Coturnix japonica: one gene and its partners. The protein of the gene in region 3 interacts with the protein of the main gene of each other region in a pairwise test. Links are inferred from orthologs where the notes say so. Each region holds a gene or a part of one and is shown on either strand. Other genes may lie near its edges.

The links.
Region 1: the proteins of cilia- and flagella-associated protein 206 (region 3) and C23H1orf94 interact in binary tests that used the Homo sapiens proteins (3 or more experiments, as listed by UniProt). The two-hybrid records come from large-scale screens. The link is inferred for Coturnix japonica from reciprocal best matches to the Homo sapiens genes CFAP206 and C1orf94.
Region 2: the proteins of cilia- and flagella-associated protein 206 (region 3) and SOX30 interact in binary tests that used the Homo sapiens proteins (3 or more experiments, as listed by UniProt). The two-hybrid records come from large-scale screens. The link is inferred for Coturnix japonica from reciprocal best matches to the Homo sapiens genes CFAP206 and SOX30.
Region 4: the proteins of cilia- and flagella-associated protein 206 (region 3) and TFIP11 interact in binary tests that used the Homo sapiens proteins (3 or more experiments, as listed by UniProt). The two-hybrid records come from large-scale screens. The link is inferred for Coturnix japonica from reciprocal best matches to the Homo sapiens genes CFAP206 and TFIP11.

Annotation. Positions count from the first base shown.
Region 1 is NC_029538.1:4,084,309-4,091,837, reverse strand, and holds the start of C23H1orf94 (uncharacterized protein C1orf94 homolog), read left to right. Parts: upstream 1-2,476; 5' UTR 2,477-2,562; coding exon 2,563-2,795; intron 2,796-5,093; coding exon 5,094-5,563; intron 5,564-5,892; coding exon 5,893-6,062; intron 6,063-6,848; coding exon 6,849-6,920; intron 6,921-7,258; coding exon 7,259-7,434; intron 7,435-7,529.
Region 2 is NC_029528.1:13,025,047-13,032,648, reverse strand, and holds the start of SOX30 (transcription factor SOX-30), read right to left. Parts: upstream 4,143-7,602; 5' UTR 4,122-4,142; coding exon 3,491-4,121; intron 2,394-3,490; coding exon 2,154-2,393; intron 1,043-2,153; coding exon 863-1,042; intron 111-862; coding exon 1-110. Other genes in the region: THG1L (probable tRNA(His) guanylyltransferase), read left to right, coding at 4,307-4,527, 5,528-5,704, 6,125-6,294, 6,682-6,770, 7,058-7,165. UniProt on the Homo sapiens protein: Acts both as a transcriptional activator and a repressor. Binds to the DNA sequence 5'-ACAAT-3' and shows a preference for guanine residues surrounding this core motif. Binds to its own promoter and activates its own transcription.
Region 3 is NC_029518.1:69,677,719-69,685,438, reverse strand, and holds the start of cilia- and flagella-associated protein 206, read left to right. Parts: upstream 1-3,582; 5' UTR 3,583-4,156; intron 4,157-4,281; exon of another isoform or gene 4,282-4,453; intron 4,454-5,771; 5' UTR 5,772-5,867; coding exon 5,868-6,015; intron 6,016-7,720. Other genes in the region: SMIM8 (small integral membrane protein 8), read left to right, coding at 2,077-2,196, 3,131-3,289. UniProt on the Homo sapiens protein: Essential for sperm motility and is involved in the regulation of the beating frequency of motile cilia on the epithelial cells of the respiratory tract. Required for the establishment of radial spokes in sperm flagella.
Region 4 is NC_029530.1:6,265,381-6,272,912, forward strand, and holds the start of TFIP11 (tuftelin-interacting protein 11), read right to left. Parts: upstream 4,638-7,532; 5' UTR 4,546-4,637; coding exon 4,349-4,545; intron 3,605-4,348; coding exon 3,601-3,604; intron 1,490-3,600; coding exon 1,333-1,489; intron 1,164-1,332; coding exon 1,036-1,163; intron 568-1,035; coding exon 415-567; intron 1-414. Other genes in the region: TPST2 (protein-tyrosine sulfotransferase 2), read right to left, coding at 6,229-6,258, 7,137-7,187. UniProt on the Homo sapiens protein: Involved in pre-mRNA splicing, specifically in spliceosome disassembly during late-stage splicing events. Intron turnover seems to proceed through reactions in two lariat-intron associated complexes termed Intron Large (IL) and Intron Small (IS).

The DNA of each region.
Region 1 (7,529 bases), on a different chromosome or scaffold from region 3:
AGGGGGGGGGGTAATAAATAAATAAATAAATAAAACCAACAACAAAAAAAAAAAGCAGGTCAGGCTTGCGATTTCTTGGTTATTTTTTTAACTATTTATTTTTCCTTTCTCAGCCCAGGGAAAAAATAAAATAAAATAAAATAAAATCCCACCGCATGGAAGGCTCTGAGCTTCTGCAGCTGGAATGAACCAAGTGTGGCAGCAGCTCGGGGAGAGGAGAGGCGAAGAGAGGAGGGCTGGCTCGTCCCTCCCGGTGCCTGTCTCCGAGCCAGCTCTCCGGCATCAGCGGCGCGCAGCCCCCGGGGATTTATACTTTTTTTATTAGCCACTTGATTAATCGCTCCTGTATCTTCCTTCACCTCTTTCTCTAAATGCTGGGAGGGGGCTCGGACGATGCCATGAGGGGCTGCCGTGCAAACAGCGAGCAGATCTGCCTCGTTTCTGCTTCCTTGGACCCAACGCAATCCTCCCACCAGCCCCCGCCCCAGCACCACCAGCAAGCCGCAAATTACGCTTTAGCATGTTTAGGCATTTGTTTTTTAATGCACGCCACAGGTTTCTGGCGTGGCAGCCCCCCCCATTTTGCCCACGGACACACATAGAGCATCTCCGCTACAAAGACATCAGCTGGGAAGCAGCACAGCCCCCCCCCCGGTAAACAACTTGATGATATTGACACGATTTTGGTGATGAAGCAAAATTGGGTAAATGCGGAACATAAAAGGGACCAGCCCCAGGCTCTGACCTGTCCTGGGCAATGGAACGGGCTGAGCCAGCCCCCCCATAACCCCCCCAGGACCGGGCTGAGAGCAGCATCCTCCTCTAACCCCCACCTTGTTGGTTGTTTTTTAAGCGTCTGTTAGCCCATTTGTCCCTACGGCTGCATGCAAGATACGGGGGGGAGGAAAAAAATGCGGTCTTTAAAAGATACAGTGAGGAACTTAATTATCGTGGCGATGATGCGCAGATCCGCGGACAAGAAAAACAACAACTACGTGACACTACAGCTTAACAGAAAGGAAAAAAAAACACCCTGAGAAGTCGTTCGTTTCCCCCCGCCCCCCCAAAATTCCCAGCAACCAACTGCCCAACGACCACCCCTCGGCCAGCAGCAGCCCCATCCCGCAGCACCGAGACTCGCATCCTCCCCATCTCCCCCCGACACGGAGCAGGGCGAAGCAGCCGAGCCCGGCTCGGGGCCGCCCCCAACCCCCGCCCTGCTTTTGCTGCAGTTGCTTTGCTGCAAAACCCCCTTCTTGGGGCTCGTTCCGGTTGCCCTGAATGAGCTTATTTGACAGCTTAAAAACAAATGATATCGAGGGCTCGCAAATCTGCCCCTCCGCCCTCGGATCCAGCCTCTCTCTCGCTCCCTTTTCCCTGTGTCCCCTCTGCATTTGAATCCTTCCACTGCCTACACTGTGAGCCAATGCCAAGAGCCAAGGCAACCAGCGCTGTTACATGAAAGAGTTGCTTTATGTCTGCTTAAACTGCAGTGTCCTATTCAAATAGACCTTATTGTTCAAAGGCACGGATCCAAATCGAAAAGGATCACAGAACAGGGTACCACACTTGACAGCTCTATACATCGCTTCTCCCTTACACAGCCATCCACCTCGGCCCCCAACCCCCAGGCTGTAGCCGGAGATGCAACTGGGTTGCTGCACACAGCAGAGCACAGCCGAGCCAAGGTCTGGAGCCCCGCACCGGGAGCAAGCAGCCAGCATAATCGAGTCATTGAGGAGACACAGTCCCACTTTATTCCTGGGCAATAACGCCATACCTATTGCAAATGAAGGGCTCCCAACTAAGCGTGGCCCCACACCTAGCAACGAAAGCTTACTCTCTCTTTAAGAATAAAAAGTATTTATTTGCTAAATGCAGTGTGATGAACGTAGAATCCATCACCATAGCCAACATCTATCACTGCAACTCATCTCTCCTCCCTGCCCAAACAGTGAACTTTGAGAACCCGAGAGCTTGGCAAGGGCACATAGAACAAATGCCAATACCAGGCACAAACCCCAACCCATGTCCCTTGGACTCTCCTTTCTCTCTTCCCCCCAATGAAGATCACAAACACAACCCTTGGTGATGAATGAGGAACCACAGAACCATTCACACTTAGGGAATTATGCCAGGAATTGAGAGAGTTTCACCACTAGTCATCCAGCATAGGAATGCAAAACATCTTACTAACTACCACATTTTACTCTTTCTTAACCATATCATCACTATTGGTAGGGAGAAAATAACATTTATCTGGGCAGAGGCATGAGTGAGCAGAGCCATGCGCTCTTTGGAGCTTCATCACCTGCGCATTAAATGGAAGAGGCAAAGCTCCAGTACAGAAAGAAGGGGGCAGGACAGCTGAATGCTGACCCTGGAAAGACAGGGATCTAGTTTATGAGAGGGGAAGCTCCCAGCTGTGCCAAGGACAAGCAGATATTTCAGTTATCAACTGCCAGGACCTGGCGTTCCGTGGTTGCCACGGCTCTTCTTTCCGTTTGCCATGTAAACAAAACACCACTCAAGAAGATAGCCTGGATGCATAGAGGCTGAAGGATGCTCACCAGCATAAATGGGTTTGCAGCCCCAGCAGTGAAATCAGAGGGGCCGTTCCCACTGGGGCCATACCCACGGCACATCTGGATCCACGACAACACGCCCCAAGACGGGCTGGACAAGGCCTGCCATGAGATCTGGAAACGGATGCAGAGCCCCCCCGAGGAGCTTCAGCCCATCATCTGCATGGACCCACAGGGACCCCCATGGAGCAAGAACGGTGCCCACAGCGGGTGAGTGACCACCAGCACTGCAGGACAAGGGGCTTGACTCCAACAGAGCCCTCATAACCCCTAGAAACAGAGAGCTGGAGCACAGGGGTGCTGTGTTGGCTTTGGGCAGCCTCTTAATGGGACAGAGTATCCCCATTTGTCCCAATATAACCAGTCTTTTTGGGAGAGCTTGTCCCATGAAAGCCAGCTACTTGAAAATCTGAAGCACCACAAGCAGCTGCTGCTTTTGCTTCCCCACAACATTTAAAGCAAAACAACTACACACACATCAAAATATTTACAGGAAGAAGTGAAAGCAGCATTCAAAAGGAACAAAATCGAAAATTAAAGTGTTATAAGGAAGCTACTGTAAACAGCTGATCTTTACAAAGAGAAGCTGAATTTAGCACAGAAAAAATTATGCCAAATCATGTTCTGCGGGACAAATGGTGATAAGGGAGGGAAGGATGCTCTTCAGATTAATGGGATAATATTTACTGTATGCTCCTGAAGTAGAAAAAGAGTGAAATTTACATGTCCAGCTATCAATCAGCAAGTTATTAGCTCGTGTCCACTTCTTAAAGCCTAAGTCACACATCTTGCCTGATACAGTGAAAAACAGCTGTCGTATCTTTTAAGACTAACATCACAGATTGAGAAAGCTGATAATTCGATGCTTTTAGCTGAAGACGTGGAGGATCAGAAGGGGAAATGCCCTATGCTGTGTCACTGTGAAACCCAGGGAGTACATCTTGGAGCCCTGACTCCTTTCCTTTCCCTTCCATATCCATAACAATAACAGTAATAACTGGCCTAGAATAAATGCACAAAGTGAAACCAAACAACCCAAGAATAACCAGTGAAGCCAATGGACTTGCACTGGCCTACAGCAGCAGGTCAACTTATGCTGCTGAAACATCTTGACAATTAGCACAAGCTCAGCCACGTAACTTGGTCATGCCAGCTGCTTGGAAGTCCAAGCAAAGAGATAAGGTATAAACCACTGTGAACTATTAAACGACATAAGCAAAGCCACCATTAGAAATATATAGGTTCAGTTTTTAGCAATTAATCTAATGCAGTGAGAGCAGCCCACCCTGCAGCCCACCCTCACGCCACTGTAATGGGGTTGAGGAAGCAGATAAGAACGATTTGGGACAACCAGCAAGGACCTGTAACAAACTCAACACCTCCAACTAAGATGAAATTAAACAGCCAGCAAAGCGCAGTGGCTAAAGCACCTTCCTCAGGGTCAGAGAAATGATTCATTGTTCTCCTGCTGATCTTTGAGTTACTTTGGGCAGCTGCTCTGACCCTTTCTGCCAGCAGCATTTCCCTGCATTCAGCAAACAGGCTCTTCAGCAAAGAAGTGCCCTCAGCATACACTCACACAGTGCAGTTCATTGCTCACCAGCTATTCAAAGACACCCCCCTGAGTCAATGAACCTTCCAAAAATACCAAACCTGAAGCAATGAAACCAAATCGCTGTACAGAATTCAAGGGAACTTCCTTAAAATCCCTACAGGTGAGGTCAGGTGTCCACCTCCAGCCTCGGAGGTGGCTGCAACCACCAATGGAGAGAGGAATCCCAGTGAAAGATGGGATAAAGCATTGTAGAAAATAAGCTTTCTTTGGAAATGACAGCAATTTTCTATTTTTATGCCCATAGTATAGGTTTGTTGAGGATTTTAAGGTATCTGTTCTTTAAAAATAGGGAGATAAAGCAGCATCCTGCCAATTATGGTGATCCTATGATTAGAGATAATTAGCTACATTTAACTATCCAGATTTCACTAATATTAGCAATCCATTTATGTACTATATATGTATCTGTACAGTGCATGCACAGAGCATCACTTCCCCTCAAGCTGAGGAGAGTAAATGGATGATACGTTAAGTTATTGAACATACCTGGCTGTGAAAGAGCAACGTGGAATTTAAAGGAGGATTTTGAGTAGGGAACCACTACAAACACTGAGTTGTGCCTTAGAGACACAGCATTGTTCAGCCCTGGCAGCCACCCCACTGTAAGTCCTAGAGGACTTCATGGCTTCCAGTCTGAAACGCCATCACCCAACTTCAGTTATTCCCAAATAGGTGTGTTAAGTTCAGATTTTGTTTTAATTTTCCCATTTTATGTGGTTCTTTGGAGAAGAACAGTGTCCTGGAGGTAGGTTTCATTCCGGTTGAGAAGGAATACTCGAGGCTTAAACGGAGCATAAATGAAACAGAAATGCAAGGCATAGAAGCAGTCAAGAAAATGAGTTCAATCTAATGTCAAGCTCTCAACAGAATCCCTATATTTCACATTCTTACAGGGACTGGTTGCTAGATGAAACAGAGGGACTTGAGAGCATATACAGAGCAGTGATTGGAAACAGAGAAAGAGAGATGAAATTAAGAGCTCTCTGCGATGCTCAGCTTTCTGCTAAATCCACCATCACCAACCTCCTGCGTTCAACAAGCTCTCCCAGGATCTCCAAGGGGTTGGGGGACAACAGCACAACAGGTGCTGGTAGCACAGAGGGCAACAAGCTGGGGATGCCATTGCTGCTGAAGCACACAGATATTGCCAAAGGTCCAGACAGGCAACTCATGGCTGAGGAAAGCAAGACAATGAAAGAGTTCTTCCAGAATGGCACTGTCAGTGCTGCAAAGAATAGCACAGCTGTGCCAGCTCTGATGGCAGAAAGTCAAACTGCAGGACAGAAGCAGCAGCTCCCAACACTTGCCAAGATTTGCTCCAGACCTGACTCCAATGCAGCCACAAAGGCACTGCAGAATCCAGGTATGGATCAGGACACAGTTTCTTCTGTGCTAATTTCCTGGTCTCAGATAGTTTTGTTCTTACAGAGCTCAAAACAAGAATCTTTTGCCCCATTCCAGTCATTCTTACAGCTCAGGAGATTAACTTCATTCCAGGTCCTGTGGGTTGGGGTTTAATGGCCTTACATGTGAATCTGATCTGCTCATTTCTAAGCATGGGTCTCCAGAAATACAGCCTGCAAAAGCATCTTAAACACTTTGCTCACAGGGAGTGCATCCCCTTAGCTGCAAGTGCTTCATGGTTTAATGAAGGGAATGCTTAATTATCTTCACCCTTGTTTTGTTTTACAGTAACTACTGCAGCACTGGATAAAAAAATAGTTATATACAATGCCAGCACTTCCAATCCACACTTTCCCGTTACTACAACCACCACAAACTTAAACCAGCCAATGTGGCCGAGTCTGAGCTTCCCTCCACTTCCTCTATATCCAAACCAGCCAAACTACCCACCCTTTCAGGTAAGATTGAATAAACCCACATTTTAGAACATTTCCAGGCCCATACTGACAAGCTCAGGGCAGCAACTACCTCTGCTATGAGAACTGCTTTCTGATTTGTAGGGTAGAGCCTAAAAGAAACCAGGCTGCTGTCCTACAATGACTGATCACACTGGTTCGCCATCAGTGTTAACATCCAATGTAATGCAGTCCTCTGAGATGTTAGTGATCAAAGGATGATGTTCTATTGACATATACTGAATGCTGACCTCTCTTGGCATTCATTAGTTTCCATGTTTATGTTGCATTTACAAATATTTATCCTGTATTACAAATATTTTGAGCTAATAATTCATTAAGGATATTTCACTCGGTGGCTCTGTTTGCACAACAGGATGCTGCTTGCTTTCTTTGCCTGGCGAAACAGGACCTCAAATCAAAGTGAAAAAGCCATCTAAGGTTATTAAGATGGCAAATGCTTAAGTCAAAAGGAATGAAAGAATGGGAATTGTACATACCTATGGTTTACAGCCCCAGAATTTCCCCTGAAGCCCACGGTTCAACAGAGACCTACTGAGCACAGGACAAGTGCAGTCCTTCCACCCCCAGCATTCAGCCAGGATTTGGGCTTCTCTGCCTGGTCTTAGGGAAATAAAGGGAAGACTTCCCCAAATCTAAGAAGTTAATTTACCTCAACCTGGTTTCTCTGAACACAGCTTTACACTAAAAAAATTCATGCAAAAGAAATAATAATTAACAGAGCAACTCAAACTGTTTTAAAAGTCATGCTTCACATTCGCTTAACAGGGTCCATACCAGCGAGCAAGGATCCCTTTCCAGCAACCTCTGCACCCTTCCTATGGATGCTATACAAGACAGGTGCGTTCAAACAGCTACGAATGTGCTTCAGTTTGCAGAGCACAGATGCTAAGCACAATGGATTAGTCAGTACTGTTTGTCCTATACCAAGACTGACATTGATGCCATGACTAAAACAGATCTGGGGACAAGATGCAGAGCTGGACTAAGTTAATTTAGTTCTTTGGAGCAGTATGTATTGCAGGATAGCTCATTAGATGGCCCTGAGCCTTTAACTGAAGGGATCTATTACATATGCTCAAGTTTTGTACCAAATAATTTGTCTGTCTTCTCCATTCGGACTGCACATCATTAGACTCACCCCATTCCCATGTGGTTTCTTTCTCTCTCCTCCCCAGGGGGCTCCATACAGCCCACAGATGTACCGGTCACCCTACACTCCTATGCTGAATTACATCCCCCTTGTCCAGCCTGGCTTCCCACACCAGAGGGCCCCAGCTCAGCTGCCCACCAGCATCCAGGATCTGCCAGCAGCACGTGATGGGATGCGGTTCACATTTCCTCCTCCTTATGGGTACGACAACGCAGATCTTCTTTCTAGCTTCATTACCATCCCTTACTGTACACCTTCATAGAACTCACAGCCTAATCACAAACTGGGTTCCCCAG
Region 2 (7,602 bases), on a different chromosome or scaffold from region 3:
AGTTGGAACTGCCACTGGAGTGGTGCTTGCAGAAGCAGGTCGGAAAAGATTAATTGGAGTTGGACGCTGAATAGAGGAAGCTGGCAGCCGGGTGGCAGAAGGAGCTTCACCTTTAGGAAAGAAAGCAATTATTTATCAGACACAAGGAGATTTCATAAATAATGACATAGCAAACCACATCTGAAGCCAGAACCATTTCCTCCAAAACACATTATAGCATTGCTTCCCTGCAACTCACAGTCACGTGCCAACTGGCCTATGTGTGTCTGACATGGTTTTGGAGTCCATAATCTTAACCTTCCTTCAACAAAACAAAACAAGACAAAAAACAAGGGAGCACTGCAGACAATTCTGCCTCCTTGTGTGCAGCATAAGTTGCTGAGCCCTAGAATAGTGGTGCTCTGCTAGCAAAGAGCACTAACATTGGAGTGGAGGTAATAAGCTAATAAACTTTTCCAGGCTTAATAGAGCAGGTTTGAATGCTGAGTGCAGTGAGATCTGGTGTGGAAAGATATGGGTGAGGGAGACAGAACAGGGAAATGAAATTATTATAGCTCTTCAGGAGGCAAGTGTTGAGTAACAGACAACCAGAGAGACCCAGGAGGTACCAGGAACTACAAAGACAATAGGAGCATCTGTGGAGGATGAAGAGGGGGACAAAATTAAAGAGCAGCTATGTGTGAGGAAGCAGTAGGTAGAGACTAGGAGGCAGAGGTTCAATGCAGAGGAGAACTGAAAGAAATAACAGTGTCCAGGCAGACTGAGAAATCATTTGTTAAATATATCTACACTAGTGGATGTATTACAGCTGCTATAATAGGTAAATTCCTGATTTTTAAAACCATTCACTACTGCAACTCACAGACTGGATGTCCAATATTTTTCTGAATATTGTGCATGGCAGCAGGGAATGCAGGCGATGGAAAGGGATAAACAGCAACTGGATTTGTAGTGATGATATTCTGGGTGGTGCTGGAAAATACAGCAGAGACAGCCAGTGGATAACGCTTCCTCTTGCCTGGTCGTGGCTGATAAACCCAACCTGTAAGAGATGAAAAAAATGTAGATACATCATTTATAGAATGGTCCCTCTGTTAATTTCTCTCTCTCTCTCTCTTTCTCTTTATAACCTATGGCAACTTCAATTCTGAAATACCTTAAGAAAAAATAAGAAAAAAAGTCAAAGAGTTCTCAAAATGCTCCAATGGCAAAACTGCATTTCTGTCAGTGAGGCAGTAAATGGGGTGTTTTATCAGAGACGGAAAGAAAATGGACACATTTGGACATTGTGTTTGCGTTACTGAACTGTAACTGTTAGACAAAGAAATACAGAAGGGTAGGGAGTGACATGGCACAGCTACACAAAGCATGTTTAGGAGAACATGACACTGTATTGTGGGCTTCCCAGTCATGAAGAAAATCATGACTATATTAAAAATCTGGGTCTTTTCTGATTTCTTCTTCAACCCCTTAAACTTCTTATGTATCTGCAGGCTACGAGAGACAATGGAAAATACGATCCAATAGGAATCCCATATAGATTTTGGCAATAAAAAGTATGTTTGCCTCTGACATATACCATTAACTAAACACTAGCAGACTTTAAATAAACTGTGAACTTACACTAAGCAGCCCAGGAGAGAGAGAGAGCATGCACTGCTTTCATGACCAGTCAAGCCTGGTCTAGCCATTGTGAGTTAGAAGGATTATGGCATCACAAAGGATTGTGACACCTGATAACAGCTTTCAGGAAGAACTTATGCTCTGTTTTGTTAGTATCCTATTAACTGAACTGCAGCGTTGTGGATAAACAGACTTGTTAGTGGATAAACAGACTTGTTAGTGGATAAACAGACTTGTTAAGGGTTTTGGAGTGATGTTCACAACAACCAGAAGAGCTGTGGTGGTCTGAGAATGTAGGAACACAATTAAGAGGCAGTAAAGGATGCATATAATTTTTGGATGCTTAATAATATGTTTTCACATGCACTGGAAGGCTGATAGAAGGACTGAGTGCTTGAAATTTGTGCCATGTTTTCTAACTCTTCTATGTGTTCTAATGAAATAAATCCTTTTTGTGGTTTTTTGGTTTTTTCCTCCTGTAAATTGTGCACTATTAGAACATTGAGGTAAATCAATAAATACGTGTTTACCAGGAAATTCCTCTCTGTGCCTTTGTTTTATTTTCCGAGCTTCATCGTAATAGGGCTGTTTCTGCTCTTCAGTCAGTTTGCTCCACTCCAACCCCAGCTGAACACTGATTTCTGCATTATTGGCATTGGGGTTGGCTTTAGCCAGGGCAGGTCGGTGAATCCTAGCCCACACCATGAACGCATTCATCGGACGCTTTACATGGCCAGTTTTGTCCTTGCTGAATGGAGTATCTGGCATACCTGTGCAACAAAGTGCAGAAAGATCATCTTCCAGGCAATACATGGAAGCACAGATTACACCAAAAGGCTTTTCAGAATCACTAGAGCTTCAGAATACACAAAATTCATCGCACGTGCAGACAGTAATTCCTAGAAATCTAATCAAGGCTCTACTAACCGAACCACTGTATAAAGGAATCGTGCATGGCTTTTGTTGTTTATTCTCTTCTTAAAAATATGAAACACACGTGACTGCTGAGACAGTTTGGATTTCACTCGACTAGACCATTTCCTGTAGCTTGTTTATAAGTTGAACTCAGTATGGCATAGACCATATCACTGCAAGTCTGTCATCTCCCACAGAACTATGTATCCAAAAGCCCTAATGATAACACTGGTATAGCACTTTGGTCCCTCTACTGTGCAGTCTCTGGATTCTCTGCTGAGGCTGCTGCTGTGCTGGGGTTCTTAGATGGGTTTTTCCCCTCAGATATGAGCATTCATTTGCTGGAGGAATCTGTTTTACCAACTGACTGTTACATGACACCCAGCTTTACATCTCTGTAAACACAGACTGCATTTGGATTGAACTGGTGACATCATGAACAGCCAGATCCCTCACAGCTGATCCCTCAGCAAAAGGCTTAGAGGTGAACTGTTCCATATTATCAATAAAGGGAGGTTTCCTTATCTTTAGAACTTCGTTTTAAGTCATGCATTTTAAAAGCCTAAAACCTATACATTTGAAAAGCCTTTTTCTTTCCAGAACAAGCAAGCTTCTAACCCAGGTACTACAAAAAGTTTATTGCTTAACATGTCCTGGGAGGTGTATGAATGCTCCATTTTAAAGTCAAGCAGACATCTAAACTGCAACCTGCAATCAAAATTCAGTGTGATTCCAATTATAAAGGGGTTCAGTAGAGGCAGAGAGCAAACAAACTGTACTGATCCCAATAAACCAATAGAGAACTCTGTGCTCCTGTAGCTCACACATCACCCTGAATTAGACACAGTGTATCCAGATGGTTCTCTAATGCTGCCTTTGCTCTCCTCCCTATAACCCGTCGGCTGTGTGTACCTTACCACAACCCTGACTACTTGGCTTCTTAACATAATACCTGAATCGGAGGGCAGTACAGTGAGGGGCACGTTTTTAGTTTCAATTTTTACAGACGGCTCCAGCAGGGATTGCATTTTAAGAGGCACTTGGCTCACAGGTCCCTTAGACACCTGGATCAGCTTTGGCAGCAAAGGGCCTTGCACTTGTATACGGGCACCAGGAGGCAAAGGCCGAAGCACCAGGGGGATCTTCAGGTCTTCAGGGAGGACCCCCAGCCCTTCTTTGGGCTGTGCCATGCCGCCATCACTGCTGATGTGTGCGGGTCCACACGAGGCCCTTCCTGCAGCACCGTCCTCATCCACATCCACCTTCACTCCTGCACATGGCTCCTTCACGCCGCCCCTGATCTCCACCACCACCACATCTTCCTGCTCTTCTCCGCCACATTTTTCTCCATCCTCTTTTACACAGATCGCCTTCTCTTTCCCCCCCCATCCAACTGGGGAACACCTGAGCTCCCCTCCTTCTTCCTTGCTGCCATCAGGACAGGCGGTGCAGCCTCCATCCAGCTGCTGGACCTCTTTAGCTTTAACTCTCTTCTCCTGATCCTCCTCACCGCCTGAGGGACCCTGTGAGCAGACATGGAGCTCAGAACCCCCTCCATAGCCGCCGCCCCCGCCCCGCTCCATGACGCCACTGCCGTTTGCCTCCTGCGGTTGGTCCCCAACGCTCGCAGCGCCCTCGCGCCGCCGTCACCTACGAGAGCAGCTTCAACGCTCCGTTGGGCTCCTCCCACCACCAAACAATGCGGTCGCATGGAGACCAGCAGCCGGGTTCCATAGAGGGAGTCCTCCCAAGCGTCTAGAAAGGCTCAATGCCTCGCCCTCCATGCTGTATTTCCGCCTCCGCTCCGGCCATGCTGTGTTGTTTAAGGGCGGCTGTTGGTGTCTCTGTGGGAGCCGGGGTGGGGTGTGTGCGAGGTCGGGTCTCTATGGCGAAAAGCAAGTTCGAATATGTGAGGGATTTTGAGACGGACGACACTTGTCTGCCCAACTGCTGGATTGTGGTACGGCTGGACGGCCGCAATTTCCACAGGTGAAATGGGTGGGCAGCCAATGGGTGGGGGGCTTGGAGTGGGATGAGATGGGATGGGATGGGATGGGGTGGAGTGGTATGGTATGGTATGCTGTGCTATGGTGTGGTATGGGATGAGATGGGGTGGTATGGGATGGTATGGAGTGGTATGGGATGGGGTGGTATGGGATGGGGATGGGATGGGTATGCTATGGTGTGGGATGGTATGGGGTGCTGTGGTATGGGATGGTATGGTGTGGTATGGGATGGTATGGTGTGGTATGGGGTGGTATGGTGTGGTATGGGATGGTATGGTGTGGTATGGGATGGTATGATGTGGTATGGGGTGGTATGGGATGGTGTGGTATGGGTATGGTATAGGGTGGTATGCTATGCTATGGTATGGGATGTTATGGGGTGGGATGGGATGGTATGGGGTGGGATGGTATGGTATGGTGTGGTATGATATGGGATGGGATGGTGTATGGATATGATATGGGATGGGATGGTGTATGGATATGGTATGGGGTGGTATGGTGTGCTGTGGTATGCTATGGTGTGGTATGGGGTGGTATGCTATGGTATGGGGTGGTATGGTATTGTATGGGTATGGTATGGGGTGATATGGTACGGTATGGTATGCTACAGTATGGGATGGGATGGGGTGGTGTGGTATGGGGTGGTATGCTATGGTATGGTATGGCCTGGTATGGCATGGTATGGTATGGGGTAGTATGGTATGGTGTGGGGTGGTATGGTATGGGTATGGTATGGTATGGTATGATATGGTATGGTATGGGGTGAGGTCTGATCATGGACCAACATAGGAGGCATTACTTTAGGATCAGCTCTTATGTAAAACCAGGTTTTTGTTACCATTTTTCATACCTGCAAGGAATTCTCTGTTAGTATTGGCTGGATATTGTAAATATTTTAAAAGCTAAACACAATGCAAATGAACCCATTCACTTCTCTGAGCTGCCTTATACAGGATTCTTATTCTATCTCTTTTGCTTTGCAGGTTTGCTGAGCAACACGAGTTCAAAAAGCCCAATGATGACCGCGCTCTTCATCTGATGACCAGATGTGCCCAGACCGTGATGCAGGAGTTGGAGGATATTGCTATTGCTTATGGACAGAGCGATGAATACAGCTTTGTTTTCAAAAAGAAGAGTAAATGGTTTAAAAGAAGAGCGAGGTAACACCTGCTTTGGTATGAAAGTGAACTAATACCTGTCTCTAAACCTGTGCCTCAGCCCTCATCTTCAGGTTTGCCTTTATCTGAACACAGAGGCTACAAGGTGGGCTGTATTTGGAGATACACAGTATACCTAATTCTAGTTCTTAATGTGAACTCTGCAAGCAGTGTTTCCATAGCATTCAGTTATATGGAGCTCTAGGTAGTTCTGGTAAAACAGGGCTTCCTTTAACAAAGTGTTTTGCTTTCCAAACTCATGTATTTGATTTATAAAAGATTATGCCATTGCTGAACTGTTGGACCGTTACATAAGAAATAATGCTGCCCACCAGAATTATTCCTATTGATACATCGTGGTTATAGGTGCATATAGTCGTATTGATGTCTGCCTTTCTTTTCCCTTTGTTTTGTGTTTCCAAGTAAGTTCATGACTCACGTGGTCTCCCAGTTTGCCTCGAGTTACGTTTTCTATTGGAAGGATTACTTTAAGGACCAACAACTTCTGTACCCACCTGGATTTGATGGACGAATTGTGCTGTATCCCAGCAACCAAAACTTAAAGGACTATCTCAGCTGGAGACAAGCAGATTGTAAGCATTACTAGAAAATGGGGTCTTGTGCAGTTGAGTTCTCATCCTCTCTGAATAGAAATGTCTTTATTGCTGTTGTGTTTGTATGTGGAACTTGTCAATTTCATTTCTAGGTCTCCATTCACATGCAGCCCTTGTTCAAACTGAGATAAGGTCATACAAAAACTCCTTCTCCCTCTGCTCTTTGTTTTCAGATGTAAAATTAATCTGTCTTCCAGTTATTAACAATTTGCAGTGCATTTAAAAATGAATGTATCTTCTCTGCCAAATGATATTATTTATTCTTAGAAGGTTTTTGTTATGATACTGGGAATTAAGTTGCTGTCTATTTTTTTGAGTATTCAGTCATTTTGGTAAATACTTTTTTTCTTCTTTTTTTTCCCATAGGCCATATTAATAACCTTTATAACACGGTGTTTTGGATGCTTGTACAGCGGAGTGGTTTGACACCAGTGCAAGCACAGGACAGACTCCAGGTAAGAGTGTCTCAAAGTTATGTTCTAGGTACAAAGACAATCATCTGGTCTGCTAAATTGTGCCTTGCCTTCTCTCTGTTTTTAATATCCCCATTTGGCAGTTGAAAACAACTCCTCTGCTGGGGAAAAGCAATTACACCTTGTAGTTTAAAGATGAAAAACCTCTTTAAGTGCCATTATTGCTTCCTATATTTACCCATCTTCTGCAGATTCAGTTTGTTTGTGACCTTATTGGTTTGTTTCTGTCCTTTTCCATAAGAGTACCAGTTGTTTTCATTTTCTTGTAGGGAACTTTGGCTGGAGATAAGAATGAAATTTTATTTTCTGAGTTCAACATCAACTACAACAACGAGCCTTTGATGTATAGGAAAGGAACTGTCTTAATATGGCAGAAGGTAAAAACTTTATTACCATTTTCTTCATGGTCTTGTTGTTTGTTGGTTGTTTTCTTTATGTTTTGTTGCTGGTTGTTCCATTTAGTTTTCTCTTACTTCATTTTAAGCAAATAGAACAAGTAGAGGCTCTCACCTGGGAATATATTTCACTTGATCCTTATGCATTATTTTTCCTTACTGATTTTGGACATTTTGAGGTTTCCCATTTATTTCAAGTAGTTCTGGGTTAAATATTGTGCTTTATTCAAGCAATCAGTTACATGGAGTTGGAGGTAACTTCCTCAAGCTACATAATGATGTGCAGTTTCACCCATTCACGTGTCAGTTGTCAAGCAAAACAGACTTCTAAGTTTCTATGTTCAAATCATATAGTACGCTGTAGGGTTGATGGTCGCTTTTACTATAGCTTTTATTCTTGTCCATTTGTGAATCCCCTC
Region 3 (7,720 bases):
CCAGCAATGCCTGTGAGACAGGGGCAGCCCCAGTGCCTGAAAGCCAAGAAGTAGCGTGACTGTGCCAGTCCAGTGTGAACACACACACGTACTGCATATCCATGCAGAGCTTGCCTGTCATATGTGATTCCTGCAAGAATTCACTGAAGGATCCAGCTCGTTTCCCATTTCAGATGCTCCATAATTACCAGCTTTTGTCTCATCAAACTGGTGCTCTCTCTTCAATTATTAACTTTGCCGCAGCATCAAAATAGCTGAAGAGGCCTTTGGGAAATAGCGGGTCCTCTTGTTAGTCTGGTTTCTACATTTATTTATATTTAATTCCGTCCACGTGAAAAAACTTCTAATTGCTGTACAGAATTGTGGTAACATTTCAGAAGTCACACGGATGTCCAAAGAACCTTGAATGGTGTGTATGTCCTGTCCAAGTGCATCTTAGCAAGTGTCAGTGCTTAGACCTATTTTATTTGGTCGTCTTTATCTGGGGTGTGGCTATAGTGCTCAGTAACATTACTAACAGGGATGCAAAGCTTGAATTCACTGTGTCAGGGGAGGGTCTGGTGGGGGTTAGGGAAAGGTTCTGCACCAGAGGGCAGTGGGTATGGAACAGGCTGTGCAGTGGGCTGGGGGATTCTTCTGTCTCTTCAAGACAAAGCTGTTAACAAGCGTTTTAAAAGGCGTGTGTAGCATAATGCTATGAAAGACAAAAGGTTTGCTTTAACAGATTTTCATTTGTAACATATTCACTGCCTTAAAGCTACTTTGGATCACCAGCAGTAGTGTCCTAACAACGGCTGCTGGCTGAAAACTGCTCTCTTTCAACCAGATGGATGCGAATGTGTGCTAGCAGCTGAGAAGTGGCATAAGGACCCTTGAGACCTTCATGAGTGGAGCTGCAAACACACAGACAGCTCTCAGCAGCACCTCTGTCTTGCAGGAGACCTGTTTATTTCTTCATCTGCATTTATTTCCTCAACATGGCCATCCTGCTCCACATGCAAAAAGATTTCCTCCTGCGATCTGCGACCGCGTGCATCTCAAATAGGGAGAAGCTTATCGGTAGCTTGAGGCGTCCTATCCTCATCTTGAAGACAGCGCGAAGCTCTCCCTTTGTGCGGTGCTTGAAAGGAGCAGGAGCTGTGAGGTGAATCAGCAAAGATGCAGCGGCACGCTGCTGCTCCCGGCGCTGCATTAGGTTGGTTTATTGCATGCCAACAGCGTCTGCGGGTTACGCTATCACATTTGTTCTGCTCCCCGCTGAGACTCTTCCGTGGCTCGAACAATGAGGCGATGTGAGTCCCACGAGAAGCAGGAGCTGCTATTAAGTCCTGAATAGTCACAGAGTGCAGCATGATACTGAATGCAAAATCCCAAATGAATTCATATAAAAGGAAAATAAATCTCAGTGACGGGCCTGGGCTTCAAACAGGGAGATTTGTGCGTGTGTGTGTTTACTTTTCCGGAGGTAAACTGGGTACAGTATAACTTCTTTCAATTCCACAAGCACCCAAACAAACGAAAGCAGCAATCTACACTCAGAAGCAGCCTTTTTTTCCCTACTCAATGGTACACACCATCAGCTGTGCAGCATATGCTGCCACAACAATAGCTCGGAGACCAGCAGATGGTGCCCGGCCCTCCCCCAGGAGGGGCTCCTCCTCCTTAACTCCTCCCCCTCCTCGGCGGCCTCCGGCCACGAGGGGGCACCATTGCTGAGCAGCGTCTCGCCCCTCCTCCTTCCCCTCCCCTGGTGGGGTGGGTTTCTTTTTCAGGCGGTGGTGGGAGAAGCGTTTCCCTACAGTCAGTATAAATACAGGCACACGTCAGCAATATGAGCGCCTTGAACAGTGCTTTAGGATGCAAAATCTGACTGAAAGTTAATCAGATTTGATTGAAAGTCAGCGTGCTTCAGCTGGAGATGTTAAGTCAGTCAGTAGTGCGTGCACTGAGTGAAGGCTGTGTTGGATAAAAGCTGAACGCGTGCACTGTGAATGTAGTTCTTTCAGTTCATTTTTCATATATATATATATATATATATTTAATTTTGTTTTTGGGAAGTGTTCACCATCAGCTGAAATGTCTGCCAGCAAAACTCCGAGTGAAATTGAAACACCCGGTGAGAGAAACCCAGGACTGAGAGGTGCCCGAACGACAACTCTGTTCCGAGCTGTGAACCCGGAGCTGTTCATTAAACCCGTAAGAGGCTCTTGCTGAGAGAAACTAAATATGTTTGGAGGCACGTTTGCTTTAAAGAAATAATGGCAGGTTTTTCTTTCATATTTGAAACGGTCCAAATCATAAAATACAAGCTTAGCACTCAGAATGCATTGTAAAAATACCTCAAAAGTTAATATAAAAGTATTATAAAAAGAGGCAATATTCATCTATTTCTCATGTGGGGTGTTTTTGGTTTTTTAACTTAATGACAGATGGTGACATGGCAGAGCACTTTAAAAAGGCTTGTGTAAGGGATAGCAATGTGATTTAAGGGTATTGGCCAATATTCTTTGCTACAGCATTTGCTGTTATAATTAAATTGATGGTGCTCTGCCTTTATTTACACTTGCATAATCCAGTGGTGTCAGTAAGATGAGATGAAACCTTGTGGACATAATAAAGGTAGATTTTGCGGGGATGATATGTGATCATAGAATCATAGAATTACCCAGGTTGAAAAAGACCTCAAAGATCATCAAGTCCAACCTCAGCCTAACCATAGTACCCTAACTCTAAAATCCCTCTGCTAAATGATATCCCTGAGCACCACATCCAAACAGCTCTTAAACACATCCAGGGATGGCAATTCAACCACCTCCCTGGGGAGCCTATTCCAGTGCTCAAACAGCATTTGTGACCTATGAAAGACACAGGCCAGTGCCTCTGGGAATTGAGAGACCTCTTTCTTATGGAGAATTTATTTTGTTTCCAGAAAATCGTGTCTCCCTTCTTGCAGTTTATCATAAAAGTCACCTAAGTCGGTCTAAAGGAAAAGCAACACTGAGTTCTTCATATATGGCAATAGTTTACTCTTTGCTTTGTAAGCTAAGGTTGAAGAATGTGATGTTTGTGATGAATGAAGAGTATCTTGACTAAAAATACATACTGTTTTTTGTTGGTTTTTTTTTGTCAGAACAAACCTGTGATGGCATTTGGACTCGTAGCAATTACCCTCTGCGTGGCCTACCTTGGTTATTTGCATGCTACGGTAGAGAATAAAAAGGATCTCTACGAAGCTGTTGACAGTGAGGGGTCCAAATATATGAGGAGAAAAACTTCCAAGTGGGACTGACGACAAGTCAGCCACAGAACATCTCAAGGTTGAAAAGAGCTGTTTTTCCTCTGTCCATTAAAATGGTGGTTGAATCTCTCTTGTGCCTTTTAATCCAGTATAAGTTCCATTATAAAATACCATGGCTGTACAAATGAATTGTAACTTAGATACATGCAGACATAAAATTGATTTTAAGGATTGTTGTCTGTGATCTCCATAGTATGTCTAGACTGGTAAATGCCTCAGAAATTCATGTGGCTCAACTCATTTTCCTCTTTGCTTTTGCTAAATGAAAACAGGGAGTTTTTTAAACTGGAGTACGCAGTGCACTGTGTGGAAAGAAAACATTGGTCTCCTGATCTTTTGAAAGTTGATCAATACAGGGTTGCAGGTAAAAGTAACTTTAAGGTGGGATCTAATGAAGATCTTTATCAGATGGTGCCCTGTGGGAGTGGCTGGGGGGAAGTAATTGTGATGTTTCCTTAGTGCAGGAGGTGGGCCCACAAAAGCCTTCCTGCTCTTCTTTGCCTTGAGGGAGCTGTGCAGGTGGGTACTGCCCTGTTCCAGCACTGAGGCCTGCTACATCTGCGTCTGACACTTGTGGCAGGACAGAATGTGTGGTGGGTGCTGCATACCAGTCTGGGGCTTATTTCTACTTCAAACCTTTGCTACTGATCTGGTTGCTTTTTTTTCCCCCCCATTCAGCTCCTCATATTTACACTGTCTTCAAGGGCACCCAAGAAGTTGAGAGACCTCCCTGTAGCCGTCTTCTGGCCAAAGTGGATTCTGTTGGGCCAAGAAGGAAAGTGACATGTGAAGGGCATCTGCTTTGCTACTCTGGGATTTGCTTCTGGGAAAAAAAGTATTATTGAAGGTAGCAAAAAGGTAACAGACTACCTTGAGGGATAGCAGAATCACTATGGGATTTCTCTGTATCTCCATCTAAATCCTTTCTTCTGAACATGTGATTTTTCTCCTGTCCAAGTTTTCTAAGTGTATGCTACGTTCAGCTGGACTTTGGTTTAGCTGCTCCCATATGAGAAGTGAAGTGAGCTATAGAAAAGCTTCAGAAAGCCTTTAAAGTGTATTCCCCTTTGACAGCCTACGGCAGGGCCTCAGAGCAAATCCAAAAGCATGCAGAAAGGAGATGGCTTGCCTCTTGGTTGGTGAAAGAATTATTAGGTAAGTTGAATACTCTGAACCTTCAGATGCTCTGCGTATCCTGTAGAATGTGTTTTTTAAGGAGGTGGTGGGTTATTAGAATTAGTCCTACAAGAAGGGCTACGCAGGATGGTAGCCATTAACATGTGTGAGTCTGGTATGTGTGCAGGAACTTAACTGAATGATTGCAAAATGCCACAAAAAAAGGCCTTTGACCAGCTTTTCTCTAAGCTTTTTAAATACACAATTTGATCCTTCTACATGCAGATGATTCAAAGTGAGGAAGCCCAATCTCATTTTCACATATTTTGGGAAAAATGTGGGATTTGAATTCTTAAATTTTGACCTACATTTTGTGGGCTGAGTGTGGATCTAGAAGTTGTGGGTTGGAAGGAAGTGAAGAAGGAAGTGAAGTTTGATAGTGCCCAGACTGGAGGAGGAGTGAATGTTGAGACTTGTTCTTATTTTTAAGTACCATCTCCGTATTTATTTGCATGTAAGTGACTTCCTTGATGTCACTTACATTATGACACATAAATAGGAGATGAAGCAATGCAAATGTACTAAATTAATGGTCACTATGGTATTAATACTGGCGTTTGCTGTTTTAGTTCCCTGATTCATACACACAACAGTGATGTGTGAATTGGGACTTAGGCAAAAAAATACACCCAAGGAGAACTACATGAGCAGTAAAATTTGTTCAGGTTGAAAGCAAAGCACTGCTCCCTTTGTGCATCTGGAGGATAAGCAAACAGCACCGAGACAGCCTCTTTTGCCCTGTTTCCCTCAATTTCATTTTCAGTACAGTAATAAATATTTACAAGGGATGATAGCTGACTTGACAGGAACTGAGTCAGAATGGTCTCCCGTGCAGAGGCTTTTTCAGCTCCTTGCCTGTCCCATATCTTCTGTGCTGACTTCCCCATCTTTACCAATAGCAGTGACAAAATGCTATGATTCGGACATCTGAAGCAGCAGCTATTGTTCTGCTCCTAAAATCTCCTCTGAGAACACGGTTTGAATGGGAATTATTGACATCCAGCAACAAAAAGCTGCGCTACAAAGCCAAAGCCTGCTGGGCTGCTGCTGAACTATTACCAGGCAAGCTCTGTGAGCACAGAGTCCCACCTGGTAACAGTTGCTATGTGGGGGGCTGTACCAGGGCTGGAAGGGGTCACTTCACACAAACCTCCCTCATCTGCCTGCATCTTCTGTGCGTTGCTGAGCTGACAGCATGTGAATCTCAATCTGAAGGCAAGCATTTCCAGTAACTGGGTAGAAAACAAGTCAGTGGCTTCCCACTCATCCCTGGCTTGCATGCTTTTTTTTTTTGTAGCAACAATAAAGAGTTGGCCTGCAAGCAAGACATCTATCCAGGGTAGAGTTCTGGCAGTTCAGTGACCGTATTGCAAAAAAGCACTAGCACACCACAATGATTAGAAGCCCAGATTTGGATTCCTTCGTTTGCTGCTCTGTATGTTCCAAAATAATACCACCGCCGCCTTCTAAAGCTACTTTTGATCGGATTCGGGAGTATAAACCTTTCAGGACACGCTATTACACTCATCATGATATACTGGGTGAGTTTGTTTCTGAAAGCCTTGTCTCATACTCTGAGAATTAGGAAAACTCAAAGTGCTTCTCTGTCCAGGACTCATGTAGGCTGTCTGGGTGAGAAAACTGCAGCAACCTTCTGAATGCACTTAAATCCTGCGTATTCAGAGGGAGGCAGGGTCAGCTGTCCTGTGGTGCATGAAGGCATTTGGATTTGTGCACAATGAAGTGTGCAGCAGAATTAGATGCAAGTCTTAGCAAATGCTTTCTAAAGCTCATTTGGCTGACATTTGCAAAGATCATTCTCTCATTCTACAGATAGGCTGCTGCATCCTGAATCCCACCTTCTCATACCTGAGTCTGGTTGTTGACCATCACTTGAGCCAAGTTCAAACCTTATTTCAGTCAAAACCGATTTTTCCATCCGTATTGATAGAATTATAAACAAAAGGAGTCTTTTGTCCTGCTATTTTAGCAGAGTTGTCATCCTAAATCTCAATATTATGTCTGTGTTACACATAGCACAACTTAAACATGATCACAGGTTTAAAAAGAAGCATTATCGCTACATAAGCTGAGCTTAGCATCTGACAAACGGCTCCAAAGAATGATATGGCATGCTGATAGGAACGCTCTCCAAAGCTGAGGGTTGGTTTTTCTGGCACAGCAGAACTGTAACCTCAAAGATGAAGGAAAACATATGGTTGCATTCCTATGTGTGAGGATCTAACACAAGCCTGAAGCGTATTTGTAAGCTATGCCTAATTATCATAGGGGTTTCTGATCAGTGGTATAAAGTTTTGTAGAAATTGCACCGTGAATTTTAATTAACACATGTTTCAATGGGAGTGTGTTTGGTTTCTCTCTTAAACAAGCAGGAGATTGCCAGTGTGCTGAGAGGAATGGGGTGAATGCTGGGTATTTCTCAGGAGGCAAAGCCTTTGCCCTGCGTTGACAATGTAAAACACATCCAGAAAGCTCTAGGAAGTCTTTTTAAGTTATTTTCTTGTTACTGCTTAGTATAATGAACTGGGGAAAAGCCAAGCAGCCAGGGCACAATGTGCTTCTTGCTGAGATTTCTACATTGTTGGACTTAGGTTTAGTTTGCTAATTTAGATCAGCTGACCCCTTGTCTCATTCTTCTACTCTTTTCCATGTACTTTATGTTAGCTCCGTGGAAGGACTCTGCCCACCCATAAAGTGGATGGGGAAGGTTGGAGCGAAAGAGGGAGATTCAGCCCTGCACTGGCTGTTTGAAAGCTTGAATCCTCAGGTCCTTTTTTGTTTTCTTAATAACTTAGGGTAAGAATATGTGACTCTTCAGCGCTGTCAAGCATGGAGAATGGGATCCAAGGCAATGCTTAGGCAAGACACTCAGTAGGAAAGGGGGAGGATCAGAAGTTCCCTTTTTTGAGATGGGGTTTTGCATTGCAGGAAGTTAACTTTATCCACCTCTCTTCAGCGTCTTGTCCTCTTCTGGGCAATCCTTGGTGCTGAAGGTCAGCCTGAACAAGCAGGGCTGTCTGCTTGCTTTTATCACCAGGAGAAGATGGTGGTGCTAATACCTTATTTAGAACCCCCACTGTGTGTTACCCTAAGGGAGTAACCCCCATCCTACTCTTGACACAGTGGCATGGTTCAATTCTTGTTGCTCCACTCCTTCTTTCCAGAAGGCCTTCCTTGGGTCCAGCAGCGCCAAAGGCAGAGGAGTTTTTCTGTGTGTGCTCTGTG
Region 4 (7,532 bases), on a different chromosome or scaffold from region 3:
GAATAACTTCATTAAGTGCATTAAAGATGAGTTCCTTACAGTCTGAAAGCTCTTCTACCTAAAAAGTACTGTGTGTTTAGTTGCACGGTTACAATAAGGACAAACATGTTTACAAAATCGAGTGAGCTGTGACAAATGTGAAACAATTAACTTACAAAAGCAAACAAACAAGAAAACTAATCTTTTCTCAAGATCAAGATGCTCTTCGAGGACAAGTCCAACATTGCAGGCTACGTTGTGGTCTATTAAATGATTCAGTAATGAATCTGAACCCTTGATTTGCATGAGGCTGTAGACAATAGTTGTTAGAACGAACTTCTATTAAGCTTACCGATTGCCTAAAAGTATTCAACACTAATGCAAACAAATTGAGTTGCTTCCCAAAGATGCCATCACTTGGTTCATCAGCCTTACCTTGACTTGAGAGAGCTCCTTCTGAGGGGTTGAAAGCTGTTTGTTAATCCTACCCTTGGCTTTCAGTTCTTCTACTGTTTTATAGCTGTATTTGGGCTTTTTCTTGCCTCCATTAGGATCCTTCCGCCACTGACTGAGTTCTTTCTGAAATTCCTAAACAAAAAGGAGAAATTACAATTGCTGTTCTCAATGCTTCAAATTTGCCTGTTTTCTATGGAAAAACAATCAGTGGAGAACGCTATACAGCAGAACAAAAGGGAAAGTGACACAGCAGAGCAAAAACTGGCTCAAATGCCATGGTCCAATAAAAAAGCCTTTTCTCAACACTACCACAACCAGAATGTTTCTGATCTTTCTTCTTTTTACACAAAAGACAAATTACTTATCTGGGGGAAACTGAGGATGGGATTCTAGCAATGCTACAGGAATAATATGAGGCAGAACCAACATAAAGGATGTTACATTGACAAGAAAATATGTTTAAATGAAATTCATGTTCTGTGTTTTTAGTTTCTTACTTAAAATGAGATTTATTTCCTCTCATACAAAAGCTGATTAGATCTGAATCTTGTTTGCACAATACAATAGGGTAAACGGGTGTACCAGGGATCACACAAATACCTCTTCAGCTTCTTCTTCCGAGTCAACAACAGGGAAGTCTTGCAAAGACTGGCTGGTTCTTTCAGAGCCATATGCTCCCACAGCTCCTTTGCCTTTTCTTTGCTTGGCCTCAATTGGGTTAATAATACCTAACAAGAGATCAGTTAGATCAGAAGGAAGAAATTCAAACGAGAAAGAGCACTTGGCAAGAGAAGCAAGAATTTACATAGAAGCCACTTCAAGATGCCAGTTCTTCAATGCAGTTTCTTCTTCAAATTATTAGTTATTAATAAACAACCAAATACAGGATCATGGTACCTTGAGAATTCTTTCCAAGACCTCTTCCAGGGACATAACCCATCTTCTGGAGAAGTTTCTGCCCAATTCCCTTTGTATGTCTCTCCCAGCTGCCAAAATCCATGAAAGATTTTGTGCCCCCTACAAAACCTTTCTGACTGGGCTTGAAATTTCCACCCTGTAAGAGCAAAAAACACAAACAAGTTTTAAGGTGCTGTAATAACAAAGCTCTGTGGAACTTCACTCTGTCACAAGGTACTTCTGCAAAGCAATTCAGCTGTCAACACACTGCATCCTGTTTCTCCAGCTCCCTATGTCAGAAAGCCACTTTTGTGCCCATGGGAGCTCCCTGTTGTTTAAAAACTTTCCAAATTAGATGCCAGTTTTTAGGCTCTGTCAGGGACTTCACTGAAGCTGCTTCCTAATTGTTTTTGTGCTTGACAACTGGAAACAGACCCACAATGGAGTGACGTTCCCAGGGGTACACAGCAGTACATCAGGATATCCATGAAAATAAAAACACAACCCTCAAATTCATGCCATAACCCACGTGCTACATCAGTGTTAATTGGTTCTCCCTTTAGAATCATAGAATTACCCAGGTTGGAAAAGACCTTGAAGATCATCAAGTCCAACCGCAGCCTAACCAGATGCCCTAACTCTAAAAACCCTTTACTGACCTAATCATATCCTGAGGCACCACATCCAAACGGCTCTTAAACACAACCAAGCCTTGCGGCAATATCAGGAACCTAACACCTTGGAGCCTATTCAGCACCATAACCCTAATTCTGTAAAAGGGAAGTATACTATACTAATCCACACTAAACTTGCCCACATCTGGCGACAAATGAAGGCACATTTCTTTCAGAATAGCTCTGTTTATACCGCAAGAACCTCAGAAATTATCCTCTTAGAGCTCACGACAAACAGATCATAGTATCCACTATCTACAACAGAAATTCACTACAAGAATGACTCCAGAGTGAGGACCGTCGGCAGACCTCAAGGAATCACCCCCACCTGCCATAGCAGGGCCACCAAAACAATAACACAACTTACATAGATCAGGTAATGCCCAGTGGGACCCCGCTTTACCACCTGCCTTGGAAACACTACTAAAGACGGGCGCATCCACAACCTCCCTGGGCAGCCTTTTCCAGGGCCTCAACCACTCTTACCTAGCTTAAAGAACTTCCCCCTAACATCCCAACTGCTAATACTTCCTCTTTTAACTTAAAGACCTAATTTCCCCGTAGTCCTGCTATTGATCAGCCCTTCCAAGAGCTGTTACTCCCTTTCTGGGCAGAATAATGTTCCCTTCAGATATTGGTGAAAGGCTGCAATGAGGTCACCCCGCAAACCTATCTCTTCTCCAGGCTGAAACAAAGCACCAACTCGCCTCAGTATTCCCTCTGCGCTCACTCACTGTTTTTTCAACTGTCTTCGGCAACTATTTCCCATTTTAGGGATTTTTCCTCCATGGCTACTAAATGGGGCTTCTCATCTTCATCAGTAGATTCCCTTCCACACACCGAGACTCGCTCAAGCCCGCGCTCTCCGCCGGCTTCATTGAAGTTTCACCGCGGTGGGGACTCGGTCAACCACAATCTCCAGCCACTTATCGAGGGAGCGGTTACCTGTTTATCATTCCTCCGTATAGTGTAGAGACTGAACCAAAACCTAAGACCTGTCGAGTTCTTCAAACGATGCTTTCCATTGACCTCTCGAAGACATAACATCGGTATTCCTCCTCCTTGGTGAAGATTGAGCTGAGCAACGTGTTTTACCTGTGTCGCGCATATTGATAACACTAGGTTCTCAGGCGAAAGATAAAGGATTTGTGGGAACCACTAACTCCACTTCGAGCTGGTATAACCACGAAATTGTAGGCGTTATCTGATAACAGCTAGCTCATTTTCGATCGGTAAATCTCCAATTTATAGCCATCTTGGTGCTGTTAATAAGTTTTACCTGTATAGTAGTAAAGTGCTCTATGTGCTTGTTTACAAACGTAATAACTACTACGGATTCCTATCCTCACTTAAGCTGTACAGCAAAGGCAATACGAGCGTTTGTGAGACATAAGGGTAGAGAACGGAGTCATATATGTAATTTGAGACCCTTAAGAATCTAGAGGTAAAAGGCCTGCTATGTATAAAGAAAAGGGGGAATTGTAAGAGTGAGCAAGAGCCACCAAAATGGATGGTAAAGGTAACACTCTTGCATAGAATAGAAAGGGGAACTTTCACAGAAACCAAGACAAAGGGTAAACTGTAGATAGTGTACCATTCTAAAAGGGCAGGGAAAAGGGGAATTACAGACACTTAGTCGAAAAGAAAAACCAGAGAAGAGGCGGCAATAAGATAAGAAGTGTAAAGATTAGATACCCCCGGGCAAGGATGATCGCTGACATGGGAGAACGATACCAGCAGATAACACCAAGTAAGAAAAAAAAACAGGCAAGAATTTCACCCCAAAAACAACGGCCAAGGGTCACAGAATCACAGAATGACCCGGGTTTGGAGGGACCTGCAAGGTTCATGGGAGTTCCAACCCCCTGCCTGGCAGGGCCCACCAAACATACACCTTTTACTAGATCAGGTTGCCCAGGGCCCCGTCCAAACCTGCGTCTGAACACCTCAAGGACGGGGCATCCCACAACCTCCTGGGCAGCCTGTCCAGGCTACCACTCTCCTTAGTGAAGAACTTCGCCCCTAAACATCCAACCTGAAAATCTTCCTCTTTCAACTTAAAACCATTTCCCCCGTGTCCTGCTATTAAGGGGCGGGTCAGTTGGAATGGGTCAGGGGGAATGAAGGAATGGGTTGCGGGGAACGGGGAGTCATAGGGAACGTAATGAATATGTAATCAGAACTGGAGAGAGGAGACTATCTGATTATGTATTAGCTTAACCTATATCTATAACACACTTTATTATTACCCCACTATACCCCACAACCCAACCCCCTGCTGCCCTGACGCCCTTTGGGCCTATGTGACCATCCCCCATAGCCCGGCCCGGTCCATCCCGCACCGCTTGCCGCCGAAGCTGGGCCTCTCATCGTCCGAATCCCGCTCGGCCCACACGCCATAGGTGGCCTCCTCCTTGGTCTGCCGGTGGCGATGCCGGTGTGGGTTGAATTCGTTCTGAAGGTCCCAATCCGACACTTCGAAGTTCTCCATTTCCACTCCATCCTCCCCGTCCGTGCCGTATAAGTGTGACATCGACATGATGGATCCGAGCGACGACCCGGCCCCGCTCCAACCTACCGCTCTTTATGGCGGCGGGACGGAACCGAACCTCATCACTTCCGGCGACGGAAAAATACGTCACTTTAACCATGCCCTAACCATAGAGATGCTGGCTAGAAGGAACGCGCCCCTCTAGGCCCCCTGTCGAGTGAGCAGCTCCTCGGGAGGTATCCCGAGAGGCAGCTCTGTGACATTAAATCACTTCTCTAGTCATGAGAAACGAATCACAGAATGACCCGGGTTGGAAGGGGACCCTCAGAGGATCATGTAGTTCCAAAGCCCCCCTGGCCTGGCAGGGCCACCCAAAAATTACACCTTTACTAGTCAGGTTGCCCCAGGAGACCCATACGACCACCCATAAGATCGCCCATAGAGACCCATAGAATCCCGCATAGAGACCCCATAGATCCCCATAGATCAGCGTTAGCCCAGGCACGTTCCAACCTGCCTTGGAACACCTCCAAGGACGGGGCATCCACAACCCTCCCTGGGCAGCCTGTTCCTAGGGTTCAACCACTCTCCCTAGTGAAGAAGCTTCCCCCCAAACAATCGCAACGCTAAATCTTCCCTCTTTTTAACTGGTAAAACCATTTCCCCGTGTCCTGCTATTGTCAGCCCTTTCCAAGAGTTTACTCGAATGAGTGCAGCCAGGAGTGAAACGATTGACCTCATATATTAATTCTTAAATAGAATCTGTCAATGACAAGTGAACGGAAGAGACAGTCCGCCGCATTGTCACCTGTACAACAAATGCTCTATACACGGTTATGACACCTATTCTGATCTGCACGTATAAGGAACAGCATTACGAGACACTGAAAATAACAGGAAATCTCTTTTCCAATGCACTTTGGAGGGTCGGTCGTGCTTCATTTCCACAGATCTTTCACCACGGAGCATCCAGCGAAGGGAGACGAGTGGTATCGAAGTGTACAACGTTTGGCCTTTGCAAATAAATGCAAATACATTCCTGGCACAGCAGTCATTTTGGCAATATCAGCAAGCAATATGCTTGGATAACAGATCTCCATCGGTGCAACTGCAAACTCTTCTTTACGGAGCCACCCTGGGCCGTTTGCAGCAGCCTGCAAGGGAAGAAACAGTCTGAGCAGTCAGGAAGTCCCAACAGCCAACTTGAAAACCACTGTGAGACAGCAATTGTTGGATGCTGAGCTCCAACCCCTGCGTGATGGGCAACAGCACCTGTTTGTACTCAGAGCCTTTGACACACAAACAGCTGCTGCAGAAATCAAGGAGAGCTGTTCTGTTCTCCCAAGCTGGCAGCAAACACCACCACCCCCTTGTGAAATGCACACAGGGCACATCCCCCCTTCTGCTGGGGCTCAACACACATACACGACCCCACTCCTGCCCTCTCCACACCCGGTAATAACACCCCCAAGTGGCTGGTTGTGATTTTGCTGGATTAATCCTGTTTCCAGAGCTCAGAAAAGGAAGAGATTTGACAAACTGTCTCCCATTGCTCTGAAAACCTAAAGCAACTGTGAAGGAGATCATTGACATAATGAATGTGCCTAGAGCAGCCCAGGCAATCCACAAGCATAGGAAATAGTAGAAGCACAATGCTCATCTTGTAGCAATTCCAGGCAGGTTTGTGTGGCTCCCGAATTAAAGTACAAGGTCTTACCTGGAAATCATTAATTAGTGAGAAGATGATGTGTTCTGAGTCACCTAGAATAACCAAGATATAGAAGGATCAGTTTGAAGTCGCTACCTGCAATTCAAAGCATTCCCAGGGTGTTCCCAGGAGCAAGAAAAAGGGAAATGAGCAGGACAAAAAGTGGTACAACAACAGAGAACAGGCAGCCAAGAGACCTCGCCACGAGTCTCTCACTTCCTTACTGCATGTGCAGCCACTCAGCAACTGCTGACACCTCCTGCAGGGAGCACACGTGTGTCTTTGATGCACTAGCAGCCTCGTTTCCTCATTCTGGGATTTGACTATGCATGTTTTCACATGCTGGCAATGCAGACCAATCTGTTAGGAGTCCTTATGTTGAACAGGTAAAACCAGACACCTTTGATGAAAACACTGGTGATAACCAACACTCATCTACTGTATTTCTTATTCAGGCAGGTGGCTCTATCTGAAGAGCCAATAAAATAATGTTTAAGTCCGTATAGATGATGGCTGTTTGACTGCTCTGTGTTGTAAAAGATGGTAATCCCTTGCTTTCCAACACTGCTCTTTAGGAAAGGACACACTAACTGTATTTTTGACACCTGAGCGTGATCACAAGCACTAGAAACAGAAGATCTATCTGTAACTTGAAGTCAGGTAAGCCACCCTCCCCTAAACAGCCTGCAAGTGTCAGTAAAAGGGAGCAGGGGGCCAGGCACCCAGATGTGGTAGATATCACATCTGAGTGATATATATGGGGGAACACCCAAGGTCAGGGGACAGGACCCTGAGCACTGATGGAGCTGTGCTGTCCATGTTCATTGTAGGGCAGTGGGAGCAGATGGCCTTTAAAGGTTCCATCCCACTCAGATGATTCAATGAATAACCACACAGGGCGAAGCACTCAGACATGGCATCAAACTCTTACCTGCAGATGGCCTTTCAAGTTGGCTGGCGTTTTATAATCCCCCTTTAAAACCTATGGAAAAAAAGAAGAATAGTGACCCCTTCTTGGACAATGACTGTACAAACATCAGCAAGTGTACACTGTTAACTGCAGCATATGTTCCAGGACTGGTGAGCCAGCAGGGACCTGAGGAGCAGCTGTTCTAGTTCAAGCTGGGATTCTGGACAACAGCAGGAGGTCTCTCCCTTAGTGACTGTTCACCCAAATCATTTGTGTCCTGAAATGGCTCAGCAAGCACAGAGAGAAAGGAAGAACTGCAAGAGCCCAGAACATACAGACTGTGACTGGCTCCAGGGGAGCTCCTCTGACCTGCCAGGTTTGTGCTACAGCTCTCCACTCTGCAAAGACAACAGGGAA